2 linked regions of the Nothobranchius furzeri genome follow. The protein of the gene in region 1 interacts with the protein of each later gene in a pairwise test. Links are inferred from orthologs where the notes say so. Each region holds a gene or a part of one and is shown in the gene's direction. Other genes may lie near its edges. The genes, in order: appl1 and adipor1a.

The links.
Region 2: the proteins of appl1 (region 1) and adipor1a interact in binary tests that used the Homo sapiens proteins (3 or more experiments, as listed by UniProt). The link is inferred for Nothobranchius furzeri from reciprocal best matches to the Homo sapiens genes APPL1 and ADIPOR1.

What each region holds. Positions count from the first base shown.
Region 1 is NC_091743.1:68,844,817-68,848,235, forward strand, and holds part of appl1 (DCC-interacting protein 13-alpha), read left to right. Parts: intron 1-119; coding exon 120-161; intron 162-1,103; coding exon 1,104-1,162; intron 1,163-1,724; coding exon 1,725-1,871; intron 1,872-2,121; coding exon 2,122-2,204; intron 2,205-2,287; coding exon 2,288-2,449; intron 2,450-2,816; coding exon 2,817-3,005; intron 3,006-3,085; coding exon 3,086-3,128; intron 3,129-3,204; coding exon 3,205-3,261; intron 3,262-3,419. UniProt on the Homo sapiens protein: Multifunctional adapter protein that binds to various membrane receptors, nuclear factors and signaling proteins to regulate many processes, such as cell proliferation, immune response, endosomal trafficking and cell metabolism.
Region 2 is NC_091743.1:48,917,897-48,921,720, reverse strand, and holds part of adipor1a (adiponectin receptor protein 1a), read left to right. Parts: intron 1-405; 5' UTR 406-474; coding exon 475-621; intron 622-715; coding exon 716-832; intron 833-1,472; coding exon 1,473-1,644; intron 1,645-1,790; coding exon 1,791-1,977; intron 1,978-3,399; coding exon 3,400-3,587; intron 3,588-3,768; coding exon 3,769-3,824. UniProt on the Homo sapiens protein: Receptor for ADIPOQ, an essential hormone secreted by adipocytes that regulates glucose and lipid metabolism. Required for normal glucose and fat homeostasis and for maintaining a normal body weight.

The sequences.
Region 1 (3,419 bases):
AAAAACAACTATGGTTACATCATTTGTGTTAAGGTTGTGAAAAATAGACAGAAGCCAACATGGCAGAAAAAGGGAAAAAAAAGAAAAAGATCCCTTATGCATTTTTTCTTTCACTTCAGAGATCCTGACCCTGAAAGAAGTCTTCCAGATAGCCAGTGATGGTGAGTTCATCTGTTTGTGTCTTCTCACTCTCCCAGAAGTCCCAGAGGTCATCTCTTCTTTGACTGATCCAACACGGCAACCTCAGTTTATGTTAAACATAGTCCCACTTAGTGTTTCCTTTAAAGGTGTGGAACACTGAAAACCATTTTTAATGGTTATTTGTCATTATAATGCAGGCTGAACATGAAATTAGTCCCCTACACCTATCTCCTGCTTTGGCTTCTGGTAGAAAACAGACGGTGAAACTCTAGGATTAGAAAATCCTGACAGATCTACGTCACACTGTCACTAAACATTCATGGACACTTCCATCTAACACAATTACTTATTCACACAGGGCAATGAAGGTTTGGATTTTGTTCTCTCCCTAAATAATAAAAACCATCATTTCAAAACTGCATTTTGTGTTTACTTGTGTTATCTTTGACTAATGGTTAAATGTGTTTGATGATCAGAAACATTTTGTGTGACAAACATGCAAAAGAATAAGAAATCAGGAAGGGGGCAAATAGTTTTTCACACCACTGTAGATCCTGCTGTGTTCAGCTCAGGTGATGTGGCTCACTTCTAGTTCCTGAAAAGGGCACACAGGTGCTTTTTTCCTTAGAGTAAGACTTCCAAGGTATTAATTCCTTCTAGAGACCACTGCAAATGTATAAAATAAATCAGTGTTCCACACCTTTGATAAATGGATGAAATGTTACTTTAGAATTATTTAACTATGTATTATTCAACATTTTCCTCACAGGAATTACTTTATACAATATAGTTTAAACAACTTTCACCAGCTGAGGTCATCCTGCTCTTGTTTAAACATGTCTGTGGGATTCTCCCAATTATCCCTTTATGGAGTAATTGCGTTCACGTTTATGGAGCCTAAAGTCATGACTTTAATCTAAAAGGTAAAAGTGGAAATGAAAGTGTTTACTTTTTTACTGCAGATCATGACACAGCCATTAACCGATACAGTCGCCTGTCTAAGAGGAAGGACAACGAAAAGGTGGGGAAGTTGGATTTATAATTTATTTAAATAAAAAAAACATATATAAATGTGTTCTCCCTGACGTTTTCATTTAAATAAGTGATGTTTTTACACACGTTGTCAGAATTTAACACAAAACATCTTTTTAAGCATGTTTAAAGAATAAAAATAAACTTTTATTTGAATTTAAAGTTATTTTTATAAAATTCAAAGAAAAATTTTACTATTATTTGCCAATAGAACCCATTTCTATGTGTTTGTGAATTATCCAACCTACCCTTCAATGTTACCGTATACCATCGTGTTGCTTCCACTCAAATTCAGTTTCTGCCTAACAAGTTCTTTTAGATAGTTTTTATAAAAACCTTCCAACACAGACGTAAAACCTACATTTCAAAGGGATTAAAGGAGGGAAGTGATGAGGGGTTCCTGACCTTCCCACGTTTGATTCAAGGTTCAGGTTTCTCCCAAGGTTCAGCTACCTGAAAGCAACATGATTATCGTTACTAAACAAGATTATCTCAGCAAATAATAATGTTATCCGTCTTCCTGAAATATGAGGACCATGCTGTTGTTGCAGGTGCGGTCGGAGTTGGTGGAGGACCTCTACACCTCCCGCAAGAAACAGCACCAGACCATGATGCACTACTTCTGTGCTCTGAACACGCTGCAGTACAAGAAGAAGACGGCGCTGCTGGAGCCGCTGCTGGGCTACATGCAGGCTCAGGTACACACACACACACACACTCATTTAAACCGGAGAAGTCAGAAAAAACAACCAGTTTTGAAACCATAATTCAACACGAGTGTTTATTTACCTCCCTATGAAACTTTTTTTTCGCAAAAGAGTGAAATTTCATCCTGATTCCTGTGTATGTGATTATATATACCGGTAATAAGGCCACAACCCATAGGGAGAGCTCACTTGCGGGGCGGAATGAATAATCTGCCTACTGGCGTGTCTTTAATCTGTGCAGATCAGTTTCTTTAAGCTGGGCTCAGAAAATCTCACCCAGCAGTGGGAGGACTTCCTGGGAACGATAGGAACCAGCGTCCAGAAGTAGGCGTCCAACTGACCTTTAACCTCTCAGAAAAGTTTCTTATAAAAACCAAAGTGTCAGAAATAAATATGTGTGTGTGTAGTGTACGTCGGGAGATGGAGGAAGAAGTGGGCCAGATGCAGCAGACCATCCAGCAGATGGAAAGGTCATGTGATCCTCTGTATACACCATGCGACCCTGACCCCGCCCACTCACCTGTTGTCCGCAGCCTAACTAGGAAGCAGGGATATCTCTACATTCGCAAGTGAGTGAGCTGCAAAATGTTTTTTTTTGTCTATTTAAACCTTGTTAAATATGAATTGATAAAAATTTGATCGTGTGATAAAGTGTATTTGTACATTTATTTAAGAGTCTTTTAAAGCAACAGTTTGTTAGTATTTGGAGACTTTAGATCCTGTTCTGTGCAGGATCGCAGTTTTATTTCTGATTTCATTATTGTCATTTTTCTGCTATAGATAAGAACTCTTTCATTTCTTAAATGTCTCTTATAATTTTTTAAATAATTCTGTCAATAACAGACAAATCAGACCAATGATATTAAAGGATTTTAGTTCTGTCTTTGTGAACGATTTATTTACAAGTCTAACTGTGTTGTGGCTCTTGGGTGGCAGTAAGACCGGCCTGGTGTCGTCATCCTGGGAACGTCAATACTTCTTCACTCAGGGAGGGAACCTGATGCAGCAGGGTCGAGGCGAGGTTGCGGGGGGACTGGTCACAGACCTCGACAACTGCTCGGTCATGGCCGTCGACTCAGATGACCGCCGGTTCTGCTTTCAGGTCACTTCCTTTGATGGCAAAAAGTGAGTTTTCTTGGTGTCTTCTGTTGCCTTTGAGGTTTTGGATTTCTGGGGTTTGATCTTTTCTCGTTGCTTTGGATCAGAGTGGTGACTCTGCAGGCGGAGAGCAGGAGGGAATGTGAGGAGGTGAGATGTTTCGCTGTTGTCATTGTCTCTGTGTTGATTGTTGTTGTTTCCTCACACTGGATCTCTGCTCCAACAGTGGATCGCCACCATCAACAACATCTCCAGGAGGATCTACCTGAGTGAAAACGCAGAGGTGTGTGTCCACTTGGCTGAAATTACATCTACAACAGCAAAACAAACATCCACACGTGTGAACGCTACGTTTTCTATTGATGCACTTTATACATCAATGTGGTACATTTTACATGAGAATAACATGTTTAGCTATAGTTTAAGAGTAAGATTTAATGT
Region 2 (3,824 bases), about 20 Mb from region 1:
GTTTAACTTTGAAAATGTGGGCACAATTTTAATTGTCAAAAACTCCAGCAAACCATTAGTTCATTTTGCTCAAATAGAAATAGAGGCCTGCCTCTAATACTGGCCCTCCTTCCAATAAAGGCCTGGAGCTTGATGAGCTTGAGTCAAATACAGGCCCGGGCCTGTATTAGAGGATTTACGGTAGATGGAAAAGGGGGAGAACATTTTAGACTTTCTGAATCAAGTTGTTGTTTTTTATCCAGGTGTTATTACCAGAATCAAAATAAGACACAATATCATGTGCTGATCAATACCATCATAGGTCCATATAATTTCAGTTATTTCTACCTACATGTAATTTAGGATCCGTAGAAATATATTCCATTAGCTTGGCCTGTACCTCTGATTGTCATTTTGGCTTTTCAGGAAAAGTTTGCCACGTCCCATCTGAGGCAGAATACAGACGCTGTGAGTGGATCATCAGGCAGTCTCCCTATGTCAGGCCGAAACGGGTCTGCCAGTAAGTCAGACTGCCGGATCTCTGAGGACTGCAGCGTCCCAGATGTTGAGCTGATGGAGCTCGGGCCACTGCTGGAGGAGGGAGGGGGGCGGCAGGCGCCCTCTAAAGGTGTCCATCCAGAGGTATGGGAGTTTTTGCAAAAGTTTTTTTTATTTTTTATTTTTTGTAGCTGTCTGTGTCACTGCAATAGTAATCTCCTGTGATATATATTTAAAGGGAGCAGCAATGCTGGCTGAGGATGACGATGAGGATGATGATGAGGTGGGAGAAGTTCTGACTTTACCTCTTCAGGCTCACCATGCCATGGAGAAAATGGAGGAGTTTGTACACAAGGTAATTATGCATTTTTAGTATATTAAACAATATCATAAATATGATTTCTTCTTTACTGTAACAACATTAAGTTGACAGGGATGCTGTGGTGTGAGAAGTGGAGCTTATGTCACTCTGAGACATTTTCTGCATTATTAAATAATGCATTGGCTACTTTAAATCACCTGATACTCAACTCATTGTCCAGCATTGTATCAGTTTTTACAAAAGGATCTAGTTTAAGGCAGGTGGATAAAATTGTTCCAACAATAAGTAAAAAAAAAACTTTACAGCTAAAAATATGAAATGTGTTTCCGTAATACCTCTAAGGCAGTGATCTCCAACTCCCTTCCCCGAGGGCCAGTATTGAGCATGTTTTAGTTGTTTCCCCTAATCCAGCACACTTGATTCCCCTGTTCAGCAGCTCATCAGGCTTTGTAAATCACTTGCTGATTAAAATCAGGTGTGTTGAAGCAGGGAAAACAGTCAAACCTGCTGGATAGCGGTCGTCTGGGAAGGGAGAGATCTCTGCTCAAAGGCATGTCTAGATTATATTTGGCCTTTCAAAATCAAAATTCTTATAATTCCACTTTTTTTACACTGGTTTTCTCAGACTCCTGTTTTAATGGGTGATTGATAATGGAGGTTTTCTTCTGTTCAGGTTTGGGAGGGTCGCTGGAGGGTCATTCCCTTCCATGTCCTGCCAGACTGGCTGAAGGACAACGATTACCTCCTACATGGACATCGACCTCCTATGCCCTCCTTCAGGGCCTGCTTTGGAAGCATCTTCAGAATTCACACTGAGACGGGAAACATCTGGACTCATCTCTTAGGTGAGCACAAAATAATAAATAAATACATTAAAAAAATATATATATTTTTTTTTTCTCGATTTAAATGTTTAAAATTTCATTTTATTTAGCTTTTTCTCTCCCCAAATTCCAGGAACGAGTCAAATCTGTTATTTTGTCTTCCTCAGGGTGGATCTTGTTTGTTTGTCTGGGCACTTTAACCATGTTGCGCCCCAACATGTACTTTATGGCACCACTGCAGGAGAAAGTTGTGTTTGGGATGTTCTTCCTGGGAGCTGTGCTCTGCCTCAGCTTCTCTTGGCTTTTTCATACTGTCTACTGCCACTCGGAAAAAGTGTCACGCACGTTCTCCAAGTAAGGGTTCATGCAGTCTAAAAATATGATTTTTTTTTTTACACGCTCACAAGCTGCTCTGATAAAACCATACAAATAAACGAGAAGATTCATCCATGAGTTCTCAGGATTTTGTCGGAATTTTGTTGATGTTGTGTTCAAGCTGTAATTTAGGTTTGCTGTGACGAACCTTTACAAGCACATGTCTTTAATTCTTCTACAGTCTGACTTTGCCATTCTTAAGTGGAAACCAGCAATTCTAGCCTCAGAGTTTCTCCTCGACACAAATGTTTAAGGTTTTTCTGCTCCGTCTAGTTTTTCTGGGTTTTTGACTGAGAGGTTGATAAAGCTGCAAGTTCAGTCAGCCCACATAGTTCTGCATTTTTGAGCTGTTCCTGATAAGTTGCAGAGGAACTGAGCTGAATCTTGCTGCTGGCATCAATGAAGACCTCTAGTTTGCCTTCACTGACTGCATTGAGTGTTGTTCTGAACACAGTGTTGGAATGCTGTTTTGAAATGTGTGAAATTGTTAGAAATTTTCCAGGTTGGATTAAAGGAGCAATATGTTATAATTCTTCTATTTAAAAAATCACTGAACGGTCTAATGACTCAGTCTTGTTGGAAGGAAGGTTACGTTGAAACAAATTTCATTCTGAGCCAGCTGGAGGGTTATCTTAGTTTTTTAATGGTTGAAGAGGGACATAGTTACTGTTTAGTATCTGCGAGCCCGCAAGATTGCAGCGTCTGCGCCGATCTAACACTGCAGCACCTTCATTTGTAATTCAACGTTAGCAAAAAGCTCGAGTTGTAGAAAACAACTGAGCCAGTAAACAGGAGCAACCCAGAAGTTATCACCCTAAGAAGCCACACTCTAACGTGTGAAGAAGGCTAGAGGCTAACATTGAGCTAACAATGAATTAGAGGCAAATAATCTTACTTCCTTTATCGAGTCGTTCAGAACTATAACGGCAAGCTAACAGTAGGACATCAAACAGCTGCATTCCTCTAATTCTGGAGACATGCTACCGTAATAAGTGTGTAAGTGCTCCCTACCATAAAACACCCATAAGTGCTAACACCTGTTTACTGTGTATGACCCATCTTTGCTTGTCATCTAGAATGTTCTCTCAGAAACTCTCAGAACAGGAGTGAGAGAGTAACTTTTTGTTTAGAAAAATGTATTGCGGTACCCCAATTTGACCTCAGGATGTCGCTTTTACTTCATTCTTACATATTGCTCCTTTAAGTTTAAAAATAAGCATTTATAATTCATTTATAAACTGTTTCTACTCTATTTTCAAAATCTAAGTAATTTAATAATTTGTGCAGGAAATCTAAAGTGTAGAATAGGAAACAGAAAAGCATTCTGTGTTAAGGTAAAAATCACCTGTTTTGCATTCTTTTGAAGGCCCTGCATTTGTCAATGTGACTTTCTCTCCTCAGGCTTGACTACTCGGGCATTGCACTTCTAATCATGGGTTCCTTCGTACCCTGGTTGTACTACTCGTTCTACTGTTCCCCTCAGCCTCGACTTATCTACCTCACCATTGTTTGTGTTCTTGGCATCGCCGCCATCATAGTTGCCCAGTGGGACCGGTTCTCAACACCTCGTCACAGACCTACAAGGGCAGGTGAGGGTGATCTGTGTGTTTGCTTCAGATTATATTTAATGTGTTGATAATTTTTTTCTTCAGTGAGTACCAGGAGGACATTGGTTAGATACTGTTTGTGAAATAAATAACAGCTCATTTTATCTTGAGATCAAATCGTAGATATTTGCAGTAATTCTAGTACGGTAATTCCTCCTCTTAGGTGTATTCATGGGTCTTGGATTAAGTGGCATTGTTCCTACCATGCACTTCACCATC